Styela clava: one gene and its partner. The protein of the gene in region 2 interacts with the protein of the main gene of each other region in a pairwise test. Links are inferred from orthologs where the notes say so. Each region holds a gene or a part of one and is shown on either strand. Other genes may lie near its edges.

Evidence for each region. The genes of interacting proteins can lie anywhere in the genome.
Region 1: the proteins of U3 small nucleolar ribonucleoprotein MPP10-like (region 2) and U3 small nucleolar ribonucleoprotein IMP4-like interact in a two-hybrid assay, tested with the Drosophila melanogaster proteins (2 studies listed by BioGRID). The link is inferred for Styela clava from reciprocal best matches to the Drosophila melanogaster genes CG13097 and CG11920.

What each region holds. Positions count from the first base shown.
Region 1 is NC_135256.1:12,039,280-12,047,109, forward strand, and holds the start of U3 small nucleolar ribonucleoprotein IMP4-like, read right to left. Parts: upstream 3,090-7,830; 5' UTR 2,686-3,089; coding exon 2,683-2,685; intron 2,141-2,682; coding exon 2,032-2,140; intron 1,352-2,031; coding exon 1,158-1,351; intron 984-1,157; coding exon 851-983; intron 615-850; coding exon 460-614; intron 1-459.
Region 2 is NC_135252.1:8,336,142-8,343,237, forward strand, and holds the start of U3 small nucleolar ribonucleoprotein MPP10-like, read right to left. Parts: upstream 3,112-7,096; 5' UTR 3,033-3,111; coding exon 2,639-3,032; intron 2,180-2,638; coding exon 1,673-2,179; intron 1,227-1,672; coding exon 1,044-1,226; intron 1-1,043. Other genes in the region: m7GpppX diphosphatase-like, read left to right, coding at 4,495-4,654, 4,810-4,958, 5,254-5,394, 5,816-5,951, 6,188-6,276, 6,353-6,470, 6,545-6,687.

The DNA of each region.
Region 1 (7,830 bases), on a different chromosome or scaffold from region 2:
TGGTCGAGACTATTACAAGAATGCCCACTTTCAAACTGATGACGAACATTAATTTAACCTCATATCATATAAAATATACACCCCATTTTTGACAAAAGGAGCTGATTTAAAATCACAATAGATCTGGAACCACAGCATATTTAAAATGTGGCTCCAGGTCCGGCTGTTTGTATTTGCATTAAAAAATGATAGACATGGAAAATAATTTGGTGGTTAGAAGCCGAAGTCGATAAAATTTCTGGTAGATCTGGCTCTAGCTCCAACAAAATGCCATGTTTCCAGACTTCTTCTACACGGCCATGTTTGAAACCACAACAAAAATGTAATTGATCGCAAGCATTGCATCGATTTAAACAAGCTTAAAAATATTTTTTCTGAAATTTGAGATAATTTTATAAAATCTGAAACAATGTACAGTTCAAATATTCTACAATCTTTATTCAAAACCAATATTCCTACCCTTTCTCCAAGCCTTGAGTTAAAATTATGAAATATTAAATGCGGATATGCCTCGGACATCGTACCAACATTCGGAATATCGTGCCTCATAATACAATTTGACATATTAAAATATGTAGTTGGTCCATATGGTAAATGTGAAATTATCAGTCCATCTGCAACAGAGAAATATAATTGGTAATTATTGCCTGTAGCGTAAAGATGACCTGTAACATATAGCCGGCATTTTCGCAAATTAACTTGTGCAAAAGATATAGCAAAAGAGCCATAAGTATAATAAATCTTCATACTAATCGCTTTTTTGGTTTATTATAAAATTTCAATATACTAGAAGCTGAACAAAATTTATTTTTAAAATTTTTCATGTGTACACCTCTTAAAATAATCTTACCAGGTTCTCCTCTATGTTCATGCAGAACAATAAAATCTGTGACATCATTTGCCTTGCAAGCTGATATAAGAGCCTTCATTTCATGATTTCCTCTGTTGAGTCGTTGTGCATTTGGAAACATTAGTTTTATTTCCTATAAAACAATAGATTGGGCTTGGATCGTAATCTCAATGATTTTAGTATTAACCTAACTCAATGATGAAGGGGTTAGTGTGAGAAACTGATCAAGGGAGTTTCAAAAAAAAAAAAAACATAAATTTCCTATATACAAAATCAAAAAGTGGGTCATTTGAAATTAAAATGGTACTTTTGCAAATTGCTTCAGTTTCGAACTTGGATCATGAGAAGTAGTAATCATAATTTTTGGATCTTCTACTCCCACCCATCTGTATTCATCATCAATAGAATTAGATACACCTGCAGCTCCTTTATCATCAAATTCTAATTCTGATTGCAAGGCCAATGCATCTTTTCGGAGCTCAGTAGGAATGATTTTGTTTTCTGATGAACAAAATATAAAGTCAAGATAATAATTACATACAATATATTATAGATTCATATTCATGGGGTTCAACTTTAAATATAAAAAGGGTGATGATACTAAATTTTGCCCTTTTTTCATTTTATGTATTTATACTATCTTAGGGTTGTGTACAGCAGTGTGCAGAGTCAGAGACATGGTTTCGACTGATATATTTTCACCAGGAGTAGATTCACTAAGCGCCCGAACCTCTGTCAATGTAACCCAAATTTAGGATTCTTCTTTGTCTGACTGTTGCTAAAGTTGACATGTCTTCGGTCCCCTATATTTTATCTGATTAATCTGTGCCTATTTGCTGGACAATAATTCCAATCAGACTGTCTAATCTATTGTGTAGTTATATAGCAATGAGATCTTATGGGGGTTTTACAGACTTGGCAGAATTTTTTATCAAATCATACCATTGTGCAAATGAAATATCAAGATAATATTAATAAACTGAACATGTTAGGATTTCGTTTGAACAAAGATAAAATATGATGCAATTGAGAATTTTTCTGTTTTTCAATAGTTTGTTCAAAAACTACTCATCCACTTTCTCCCATATCCAACAGAAGACTGCCTCCAACTTCTCACAGATGATGACTGATAGAGGAAATATTTACAATACTAGAAGCTTAATTTTTACTAGTTTAAATACCATCTAATGACCGCTTGAGTTTATCTTTCTTCTCTTGAATTGTTCGTCTTTTGTCTTCAACAGACTTACGATACAAAAACTCCCTTCTTTCTCTGGCCTGGCGACGAAGCTGTAAACATATTCAGATATTAAATTCATCTATGACATATTTATTACAAACGAAAAAAGAAGGGAAAATTTCTCAAAAAACTAAATTGCCAATTATATTGAATAAGAAAGTGAGCAAAAAATTAATGTTCTTGTGTATGAAGTAATCTGTTATCACTAAAAATTAGGAAGAGAGAAGAGAACAAAGCATCTAAATTATACTTTATTTTCCCGATTTTTCCATTATTCTGTGTGTTTATGTTTTGTGTGTACATTATTTGTTCTGTGCATGTTTTTGGGGAAATCGAAATTATATTATTACTATAAAAAACAGCACCATTTTGGCAGTGCAGCAGTGTGACCTAAAAGTGACCAATTATTCAGCATTAGATCCCTAGTGTCCACCACTATTTGTTATGCATTGAAATACGCAGGACAGCATTACATCTATAACTTGAAAGTTGTGTTTTTAATCCAGGTTACAATACAGTTTGATTAAGTTCGGATAAAGTGATAGTTCGATCAAACCATCCTCGCGTCATGCAAAAGTAAAATCCTTCTCACCATTTCTAATGCTATGATTCACGATTTCTTGTATGAATTGGATAGTCAGCTTTATAACAAGGATCTAAAGGTAGTGATAATAACTACAGAACTATAATAATAAAGAAATATTAAATATAGACAGCGTTTCAGTGTAATATTTTCGTCACATTTTCGTATTTTGTTCAATCCATGTGTGAATATATCGTAACTTTATACTGTCTACCAGTATACGGTATATAGCGGGGGTGGCCAACCTGCTTTCGACCACGATCGACTAAAATCTTTAAACTAGCTAGCGAACGACTGATCGGTAATATTGTAATAGGGTCATACACAAAAACTATTGGGTACTGAATATGCAGATAACTGCACACATACATACAAAAAACTCTACCGCTGTCAATAAGAAGGCTTTGTGGGAACATTATTATTAAAATTGACACAAAATTTGTATTTTTTTGTTCCATTTTTTTGTTTTGTTTTTGTTACTTTTTTGCAATTCTCCGCTTGCTTAAAATTAACCCAAATTGGGCATTAAGATGTCACTGCTACCATTGCGAATAAAATTTATCACACTACTCTTTGAGTAAGACATTAAATTTCGCATACTGCAGAAGTTATTGTAGGATCGTTTGTCAATCAAGACACCGATATTCGGCACTTCATTTCTAAACCTTGGCAGCGGCAAAACTTGCGTTTGTTACTCAATACAGCAATACTGCAATAATATGCTCTATCGGGCTAGCACGACTCAAATCAGCAAATACTGCTTGCGCATAATGTATTTTGCGCATGTACGGGTACAGTACTATATATTCATCACGATTTGAAACGCGCTACTGGTTCAAGACAATTTTTAGGAGTATTCCATTAAAATTCACTCAACACAGTAACATCAGACGCGATGTTACGACGCAAACTGCTCGAGACGTGGCGAACGACGTGTTGGTCACCCAGGGATAGGTACCGTAACGTAACAAAATTACATCTAATATCTGTATATGTCCTACTTATAGAAAACTAAATATTTTGACCCCATGGCTCTGTCTCATTATCCAAAGCCTTGCTACTGCAGAACAAGGCTATTAAGCAGACCTCTGTGAAGCTTCGGAATTCAGCGACCCGGGATTCCGGAACTGAAAACGGTACACCTCGATGGAATAGACAGCTCAGTCGGTCGAGTCGACCAAAGTGACTACACTTTGGAGTCGACATGACACACATGGCACATGGCAGGCACTTATTTGGCGAAGAACCATGCCACGGAAATAGGAACCACGTCACAATTTTGTGAAGGCGTTGTTATATTGATTCTAAAATTTAAACTATGATAAAATTTTATGAAAAAAGCACATAAATTCGTCATGACAGTTGTTAGATGGAGAGGTGTGTAGCTTTATATTTACGTGTTTTTCTATACTTTATATTTTACTTGTTGAAGACGGACGTGTGTAAAGGTATCGGGTGGAACTGTTGTTAAGTGAGTATGTATTATGTACGTGGTTCCAAATGTCCACGTTTGCAAATGCCCGTGGTAAAAATTGCTGCAGAGTGCAGACGCAATTTAAATTGAGTTGTTGAAATAAGTAGCTGCAAATGTCCGAATAATTATCTCCCTGCTATCACAAATTGCCAAGATTTATGAAAAAATTTTATATCATCGTCTCAAATATTATTTCGATAAACATGGAACTTTGAGCCTTTCCCAGTTTGGTTTCCGAAACAACTATTCAACTGAGCTAGCCATAGCACGGCTCAAAGAAATGATAATAGAAAATAAGGCCAATAACAAGATCACATGTGCCATCTTTTTGGATCTTGCGAAAGCTTTTGATACTGTTAACCACCAAATTTTACTAGATAAGTTATATCATTATGGCATTAGAGGAAAGGCATATCATCTTATTGCATCATATTTAGGTGGCCGCAAACAATATGTCCAATATGGGGATTGTATCTCTGAAATGGGCCTTATTGAATGTGGGGTCCCCCAGGGTTCCACGATTGGCCCGCTGTTATTTCTATGCTACATAAACGATCTACCTTTGGCATCTACTTTTCATTCGACATTATTTGCCGATGATACTTCTCTGCTAAAGTCAGCATCCTGTGGTTTAGAACTCCAAACTGTGGTGAATCATGAACTCCAGAAGGTCGATAATTGGCTTAAAGCGAACAAATTATCCCTAAATTATTCTAAAACAAAATTTATGTTGTTTTGTGATAAAAAGCATGGTATTTCCACATTTAGAGTTGGCATTGGCAGCAACATTATAGAACAAACAAAATCAATTAAATATTTGGGAATTACAATTGATGACGAACTGAGTTGGAAGCCACATATTGCCGAGTTATCCAAGAAATTATTGCAAACTCTTGGAATATTTTACAGGTTAAGGCATATTTTGAAATCTAAAACACTTAAATTAGTATATTTTAGTCTATTCCACTCACGTCTGCAATATGGTCTGCTAAGTTGGGGCTCAGCATCAAGGTCTTCCTTACAGCCAGTTCATGTTTTGCAAAATAAAGTTTTACGATGTATGGCATTTGCAGAGAAAGTTCGTGTAACTAATTTGCAGCTCTACTACCAGTATGAATTCCTACAGCTGTCTGATATACATACGCTAGAAATAGCAAAGTTCATGCATCGGTAAGAAAATGACCTTGTCCCTCCTGTTTTTAAACATTATTTCACCTCATTAAAAAAAGTGCACAATTACTGCACCAGGTCTCAAAGAAACAAAGTTTTCTTTACTCCACAAGTGTCCACTGAGGTGGACAAAACATCTTTGAAGTATATGGGTGTACAGGTCTGGGGCAATGTTCCACCTGAAACTAAAAAAAGTTCTGTGCATGTTTTCAGTAAGAAACTGAAAAAATATTCCCTACTGAAATATTCTAACTTGTCCTAATATCTGTAGTTTAATTAATTAATATGTGTTGAAAACTGCATTATATAAATTACTACATTACTATAAATTTAACTGTTTCATATAAACACTGCACACTGAGGGTCATAGCCCTTTTTTCCAACTCATGTATGTATATAGGTAATAAAATTGCTGTCTTCTTTTCTTTCATTGGCGTCAATTTGATGATTTCTATGTTCGACTTTAAAAGCCATTGTTATTGATATTTCTATCTTTTGAATTATTGCTAAACACGTCATAATATGTAATTGAGTATAAAATCTTGCTCCCTTGATCCATATAGTACTGCCTAATATACTGTAATTACCTTTTTTATGTCATTGAAAGTTATTGTGGTATTACTGATGAACTGCATAGTTATTGCATATTTAATTGTGGATCATACATTAATATTATAGTTCCAAGTATGCATAAATACTTATAAATGATAGTAGCCCATTTGTTAATTAATTTAATAATCTTTATATATTGTGAAAAAGTGATTAACTGCAATAATAATTGCATATTTAATTGTTCATATTCAACTGTGGATCATATATTAACTACTATTCTATTTCAAAAGTATGTATTAATACTTAGGGATGTTGGTAGCCACTTTTAATTCAATAACCTTTTTATATCGTGAACTAATTAAGGTGTCAAACGAGAGTATCGGTCGGAGACCAAAGACTTATCGATCAAAACTGCGGTTTCGATTCATGACTCTATAGTGACACCGTGTGTCCAAACACCAATTAATTAATAGCTCCCTAATTATACGACATAACTCTACCAAAATCAATAGCCATCTGGTCCGTGAAATGATGAACGCACATGCAAAATTGGATTGGGTGGAGATTAAACCCCGCTTTCTTGAGATATCGCTTGCATCTAACAGACAGACAAACAGACAAAGATCGATAAACAAGATCGACAAGTAATGATATTTTTTACATCATGCACTCGGTCTATTACTGAATCTGTGATAATATTATTTTTCGTCCTTGGTATTCATTTTTGATCCCGGTCTGTGTCCAATAACAAAAAATATGCTTTTCGTGAAAATTTTTCCATTGGACATGTCCGGCTTCAACCAACACATGACCTCTCTAAAACCTAAATTGCCCTTAGTAACTTCCATAATACCATTAAATTGCCGACTCGTTTCCTTTTTTCCTCGTATTTATTTTTTAAATGTTTATATTTAATCTCATTTGTATACACCTATGATGAACTTATATATAGCACATACACAAGGGTCGGGAGCCTAGATGACTTTAATCGGTCTTGCACACCGACCCGCACAAAGCAATAATCAATTACTGTGGAATATTTTCGTTATTGTATTATGTTTATATTAGTGTTGATTTTGTTTTTGTGGCAATAAATTTCTCTCTCTCTCTCTCTGTCCGTGAGTGCAAAAGTATTCAGGCGCAAACGTCCTGGGTGCAGTTTAAGTGTCAAATGTTTGACTACGTTGGTGTTGCAGAGAAAAGATATTGAGTTCCAACACCATAACCTATTGATACTACAGTGCCCAATGTCAAAATCACAGCACCAAACTCAGGTTGATACAGGATCAGGCAAATCAGTTTCGAAGTCACGCTTTTCGTTGATCACTAGCGAGGGCCTGAATTTAAAATCATGAAGCGGACTCTTGTGCAAAACTTTTTTTGAAATTTTCAAAACAAATCACTTCTTCCAGCATAAAATGATAAAATCAATCTCACTGGTCTGGAAACATATATTCAGATTGATTATTGTCGTTCGTTCTGCGTGAACAAACTTTTGGCATTAGGTTTAAATTCCAGGAAATTGTAAATAATTAACTTACTGTAATTAGGTTACCAGCAATTTCCACCGTTCAGGTGACCTACGCTTGTTTAAAATTAGTTTCCTTTGTTGACATCGAAACTTCTTCAGTAAAATAAATATTGATCGGTTTTATTGTGTAATTTTTCCATGTCGACCCTTGCACGGTGGGATGGCGTCATACAAATCTGACAGCTGATCGCAAGTTATCACCGAGCGTAACATTGCCCTGTTCTGTTCTATGTACAAATAAGATCGCTCGGCCCCAAGGCTTTCTTCTAGAAAGATTGTAGTTGTCCTACACTAAAAAGTAAGCTTTCGCAAACATTTCGATTGGCGTCAATGTTGAGAGCAGCTCGATGACATGCGTACTTTAATACCTATTTTTCAACCAAGTAGTCAAATTTGTGATTTGTATATGCTTTCATATTGTCCTAAAATA
Region 2 (7,096 bases):
TTGCAAAATGCTAACTAGGTAGCAAAGTCGGATAATGTAAAAAACAGATCAATAACAGGTCTTCGTTGCGAGGCAAGCGCAGGTATAATCAAACGAAAGAATACGCTCGTCGTTGATTAATAACTTGGAAACCCGAAATTTTTATTCAATACGAAAGTCGATTTTAAAAAAGGCAACTATTGTTTCATAAATATCCGTATACCAGTGTTGGTAATGATAAAATTGATCGCATAAAATTGGGACGGTTAATTTGCGAAAGTGATAAAGGAAAATCAAATCAAAAGATAAAAATCAGAATAAATTTAATTTGAATTCACTCCTTGGTATTTGTCTTTAACATCTGTCGCCGGCGTGTAGTACTGTCGGTGATATGAAAACCAAACTTCGATGTCCCATTTGGAAAAGAAGTGGATTCAATTGGTTGTTATGATAGGTTTAAATGCGTGAAAAAATATCGCAATTACGGGGTCATTACGTAATCGATTTTTTTCCGTAATTACGGAATTGATTTTTGTCGATTACGTGCAAGTCTAGTGGGGACGCAAGATATTCGAAGGCGAGGATTTTGCGCCGCACGAAGAGATAAAAGAGAGAACTCTCTGTTCATTGAGAGGCAAAATGAGAGAAGCGAAAAAAAGAAAAAGCTCGGCCGCAGATATTTCCCGGGGGACTCATTTTTTAGAACGTGGAAAAGCGACTAACGCTGATATATATCGGCAAACACGCAATATCGGCCCGATATATCGGTTGGCCGATATATCGGTAGAGCTCTCAAGAACTATAATATGGATACTTAAAACAATTTTACACCATTTATAATAGGTTCTTGATTATTCAAATTGTTTATATAAATAATAATACATCTAAGCATTTGGATATGCCATTTCATGATCTTGAAATGGTAATTGTATGCTTTGGATAATTTAATTATGGCCATAATACAATACAGATACCTAGGTAAATACAATAGAGAACATCTAAAACAAGTTGGAAACAAATTGAATTTTTTCGAAAGTAGAGTATTTTTTTTTATTAGTAGTTACCATCAGGTTTATATTTTCTCTCAATGTCATCCCAAGCACAATCCATGATTCGTTGTTTGATCAAACTTTCAAGATCTTTAGTGTGTTCTTCTGTTATATCAATAGGAGGTCGAGCAACATGATCGAATTGAACCATTTCTTGCAGTAAACTATTTTCTGGTCTTGATGCAGCTTTGACTTCCCCTGTATCGCAAAATAATAAGATCAATAAATTATGTAACTGAAATGAATATTTCACCAATCTAACTTAAGATGTCATAATCACAGATAATCAAGTAACAGTTGGTAAGAAAAAGTCAGCTAGAGCTCTCTTTACGATACAAGCTTAGAAAAATGCACATAACGCATTCACCTAAAAATAGCTGACCACTAAAATGGAGGCCAGGGTTAGCTAAAACAAACTCCCAGTACTTCACATTCCAAATGGGTTCTTATTAAGGAATACTCGGTGCTAATTTGGTATATGATCTCAGTGATTTTAGTTGAAGTTAGAAACTGAATTCTATGAGAATTTCTTTATGAGACTGACCAAAAAGGCACCATGATTAGTGCTGTGCGTTAAGCAAGTGAGATTTGCATACCAAAGTGGACAGAATATTCTTTATTATAGAATGAATAAAACAGTTTACCAGTCATTTGCCACTCTGCAGGTGCCAATGCTCTTTCCTCTAGTATTCCAATTTTCTGTGATATTTGTTTCTGATGCTTTTCAAAATGAGATTGTTTTTGATCTTGTGCATTGTTTCTATCATCAATTTCAGTCTCAGAAATATTTTCATTTCTATTTTTTATTGAACTAATAGGTTCATCAAAATAATCAGAATATTTCAAGTTTCTTGATGATTTAATCTTGCTTGAATATTCTTCATTCTCATCTTCAGATGAGGAAATGCCATCAGATGGAATATCTTCAAAATAGTCTATGTCGCCCTCTACCGGCTTCTTTTGTTCTAATTCATATTTTCGATCTTCGTCTTCTAAGAATTTTTCCATTTTACGCAGACTGAAAAAATCATCGTCCACTTCAGTCTGCTCCGTTACTACATCATGTTGATTGAAGTCTTCTTCTTCTTCTTCAGTTTCTTCGTCATCTCCTTCACTTTCTTCAAAATGGAATCCTTCCACGTCGCTTTCCGCTAAATATATTCAATTTTGATTGTTAAATTTTCTTGATATCAGTTTGACTTTTAATACAGTTACAAATAAGAATTTGAACAACATTGAGATGAAAACCAAAGGTGAGCCTAGCACTATAACTGTTTGCAGTGGTCTCTGGCAACCTTTATAATCATGATCTCTCAATTTTAAGTTTGGTCTTTGCTTGGGACTTATATTATAGAAAATATACATCGAACCCCTCTCAAACAAATGCATATTTCAATATCTTCCAGCTGTACAAATTAGAATTATGGAGAATATTTTGTGCTGGACAACAGAATATAATAAAATCATACCTCCACTAGTCATGTATAGTAAATAGTATTGTAATCATTGATATTAAAAATATAAATTACCTGATGAATCAGTATTGTATTATATATATATAGGCTACAAAGTAAAAAGTGTAAAACGAATAAAAATAATGAACCAATCACCTTCTGGTTCCGCTTCTCCTTCAACAGGTTCTAATTCTGACAAATCATCATCTTCATCACCCGTTTCATCATCACTTTCATGTTTCTTTAACATGAACTGGGAAATGTCCTGAGAATTAAAATATTCGGCTGCTTTAAGACAAGTTGCAGCTTCCTTCTTATTGAAAAGTTCAATTTCTTGCCAAATCTGCTCATGATCAAAACCTTCAATGATAAGTTTTGGTATTGGACCTGATCGTGATGAAATTGCTGATGATTTATTAGAATCATAAATCGTCTTTGATAATAATTTAAAATTGTCTGACACTTCTGTACATCCTTCCAAAAATGGCAAAGGTGAGGATACGAATTGCTCAAAGTTTGATTTCAATTTTGTGAAAAAGTGTTCATCCATGATTGAGTTTGAACTTCAACTAATGCTGTATTTAATTTCCTAAACTCTACAACTCATCTAATAAAACTGAAAAGTTATGCAAAATATATTAAGTAGAACATATTACAGTATTAGTCTATATGCTATACGGAAATTTCACAGTAACGTGGAATGAAGTATTGGAGCATTATCATTCTAGTGTGAGGCTAAATTTCTGCAATATAGGTCTATGCAAGTATTGCTAATATATTGGCTTACGATCCAGAAGTATTGTTAAAATATTCACGAAAAGCTTTGTGATATCAACATACACTTGTATATCAGTATATACGTAAGTTTATTTCGACTCCATAATCAGCATAACAGGCCATAAAGTGATTGATAAAAACAAATAAATAAAAACTGATTTATGAAATCCGGACTTGTACACCATTTAACTCAACTTTTTTGAATACTAGATTATACCATATATCTATATATTGTAGCTATTGATAACATTAATATGCCTTCTCGAACAGATTCAGATTCAGATTCAGATTCAGATATTTTATTTCTATCATGCAAGAATTAACACAAAATTTAAAGCACGAAAAATTGACAAACGTGTATAATGACAATCGTAAAAAATTAAATATACACATCAGAATTCATACAAGTGAGAGATTCATAGCAATAGATAAGGAGTCGCGAAAGACTGTGACAGTCATCGAGTCAACGACACCTGTGGGCTGGAGATTTAGAGGGAATGACAAAAAAAAATTATACAAATTTAATTAATCATAATTAACAGAGAAACAAAATACCACCAGAGTAATAATACACGCGACAGCGCCCTCGTGGGGTTCAACTGTGCGTTCATGGACCGTAACAAGAAATGAATGAAGCTCGTTGCTAGCAGCGATCAAAAGCTGGTTGTTGTAGCCTACTGAGGCATATTGGATACGAAACGTAAGGACCATTTTATTAGTGGAGTAGGATCACACAAAAAATAACTGGATATGGTAACAGCAAGATTTCAAGTAAATCGGAATTTGTACGGAACAATATCCCATCACAGTACCGGTAACAGGGCGAGGCATCAAGACCGGAAGGGTGCCGTACGTTACGGAGACTAGCCTACCGTATATGAACGTCTATATACTGATATAACCAATACGCCAGGAAAGGAAATCATATTATTTGAAAAGCTGACGGATCATCACCCAAAGTATTTTAAAGGATTTTATCGTACCGGTCCCTACATGCAAACATGCCTAAGGTCATTGTGTGAGATTCAAACGTCGTTTGCCACAGGACAAATCCTCTATTGGCACACAAATACGCCAACACTCTCAGGTTATTTATCTCAGTTGATTCGGTGTATGGTATGTCTTTCATGCGCACGCTTCAAGGGGTCATGACCCTGGAAAGTACCAAAATTAGTTTTCTCGTTTAAGCATATTGTGGTTGAAAGGTTGGTGTTTGGGTTCGCCGAAGTTTGATTATGGGTGAAGAGGAAGATGAACCATCGCCTAAATTAGCTAAGATTGATGTGGAGCTACATCCTTTCCATCGATTGAAAAATCCAGTCGTCCTAAATGAAGTAAAGGAAAAGAAACTTGTATTTCTCCATGGAAAAGTTGGAGAAGACAACAAAGACGCAGGTTAATTTTATTTTCAACATTTACATTTCATGGCTTAATTAACTTTATGGTTTATGTGTAACGCAATAAAAGGCACTCCAAAATACCTTATAACAATCACCTTTTAAACATTTTTCAATTTATTTAAAAGAGCAATTTATCTTCTTATTTTCTAGTTGTAATATTGGAAAAAAGGCCTTTTGACACATCACCAAAGGGCTTGAAATCTCTATTTTCCGAAGAAACAAAGCTCCGCCAAGATTTATTAAATGATATCTACAGTACATATGCAGCAGTACCCACTTCACCGCACACAGAAATTAAGGTAGTCTACTTTAAAAATGCGATTTCATCTTTGCCTGATGACCACTTCAACCTTTTTTTAATGGTGGTGTTGAGAGCAAGGATAGAGCATTCAAATAAAAGTAAACTTTCAAAAGGGAGTTTGAATGAACTTGACAATTTGAATGGTTTGGGATATGAAATGTATTTAACGAGTTATATGTTCGAAATTGAGTGCTTTGAAGTAATGTACTATTAATAATAATTGAAATCATAAAATGATATTTTTTTGTTTTTTGCTTCTGTCAATTATTATTATTCTCATCTGTTAATTTTAGACAACTGTGATATATCCAGCAACCACAAAGCACATAGAAAAATACACAAAGCAAGAAGTTGAAGTAATAGAGGAAACTGGCGATGACTACAAGCAAATCACACTGCCATATTTGAAAGAAGAAAATCGATTCAGTGTGCAAGTATGATTAAAAGCATATGAAAACAAAATTATAGGTTTCATTCAGAATTGACAATACCATAGAGCAGGTGTGTGCAACCTTTAATACAGGAGAGGCACATTCAAATAACTGGGAGAATCCGTGGGCCACACCTTTATATAACATAATCTTTAATTAATGGCAAGCACAACAAATTATTTATGACAGGCATTGTTTGCTTTGCACAAGTATAGTTTTGCATGCAACTTATATGAGAAAAGTATGTTGTACATAAATCGTAAATAGCAGTTGGAAAATAATTTTTCTTTTTATATATCACCTATGTAGAACAATTGCAATAGTCTGATCTTTTTACTTTTATATAAAAAAGTATGTTTTTATATTTCAGAAATAATAATATTACATAATATTCCCATCTATTTATGGTATGTTTTTTTCACAGTGGGTTTTCAACATTCTGGATAAGAAAAGCGAATCCGAAAGGATTGTATTTGAAGATCCTGATCCTGAAATAGGATTCATTCTTCTCCCCGATATGAAATGGGACCTGAAAGACATAGAATCATTATATCTGATGGGTATGCAAAATTTTCCTTGTTTTTGTTTGATCCTCACAATCCTTGAAATTTAATATTTTGTGTAGCCAATTTTAGAGAATAATTTGTATATTCATTGCTTCTGATGGCTGCCATATGCCACAGTGGGATTTTCTAATGGTTATCACATATGGCTTATTTATGCTGGTATTTTAAGGATTAACATCCCAAATAACAGAAGCTTCTTATATGGTGCATCACATATTTTTTCTTCCCAGCTCTTGTTCACAGACATGATTTAAAGTCACTTCGTGATTTGAATAAAGATCATTTACCACTACTGAAGAACATAAAGCAACGTGGAGAGGTGACAATTTTGTTTTGGAAATCAATTGAAGCTTATTAATAGAACAAGACTTAAGGACGATTTTTCTTTTACGTAGGATGCAATACAGGAAAAGTATGGAGTGAAGAAACACAAGTTAAGAATATATTTCCATTATCAACCATCTTACTACCACCTCCATATACATTTCACAAACATCGCCTTTGATGCTCCAGGTAACTAAACACAATCTCAATATACACCTAACAACATTCATCTTCTGTTTCTTTCTAATGTTATTCATTTTCAGGATCGTCTGTAACCAGAGCTCATTTACTGACGGATGTCATTGAAAATATTGAATTCATGAGCGATTATTACCAGAAAAAAACCATGACATTCGTTGGGAAGAGAGATGATAAGCTTGTTACGGCTTTGCGAAAGACGCCATAACAGAATGAAAAGCCATTTGGTTATCTCAGCCTTGACCGATTATCCCAAAGTCAAGACAAAAAGGTGTATAATGCTTTTGGCATTCATTTTTAACCACAAGATCTCAAGGATTGACGAAATCACAGAAACTGCTATCTACAACTTTGTGTTTTATCCCAGAAGACTTAAGACATGAAATATTTTGAAATAAAATTTTATTTTGCAACAATAGCAGGTCATCTACAAATCGAACAATGCTGATACCCTTAAACATTAAAAAGTAAAGTATTACAAGATCTAAAATACTAATAAAACAAGTCTTTTATGATGACCAGCAGCAGTAATTCAATTTTTTGTGTATGTGCAATTTTCCCTACATCTGATTGACATTTGGGTTACAAAAATATTTAGACACCTTGAGAATATAAAT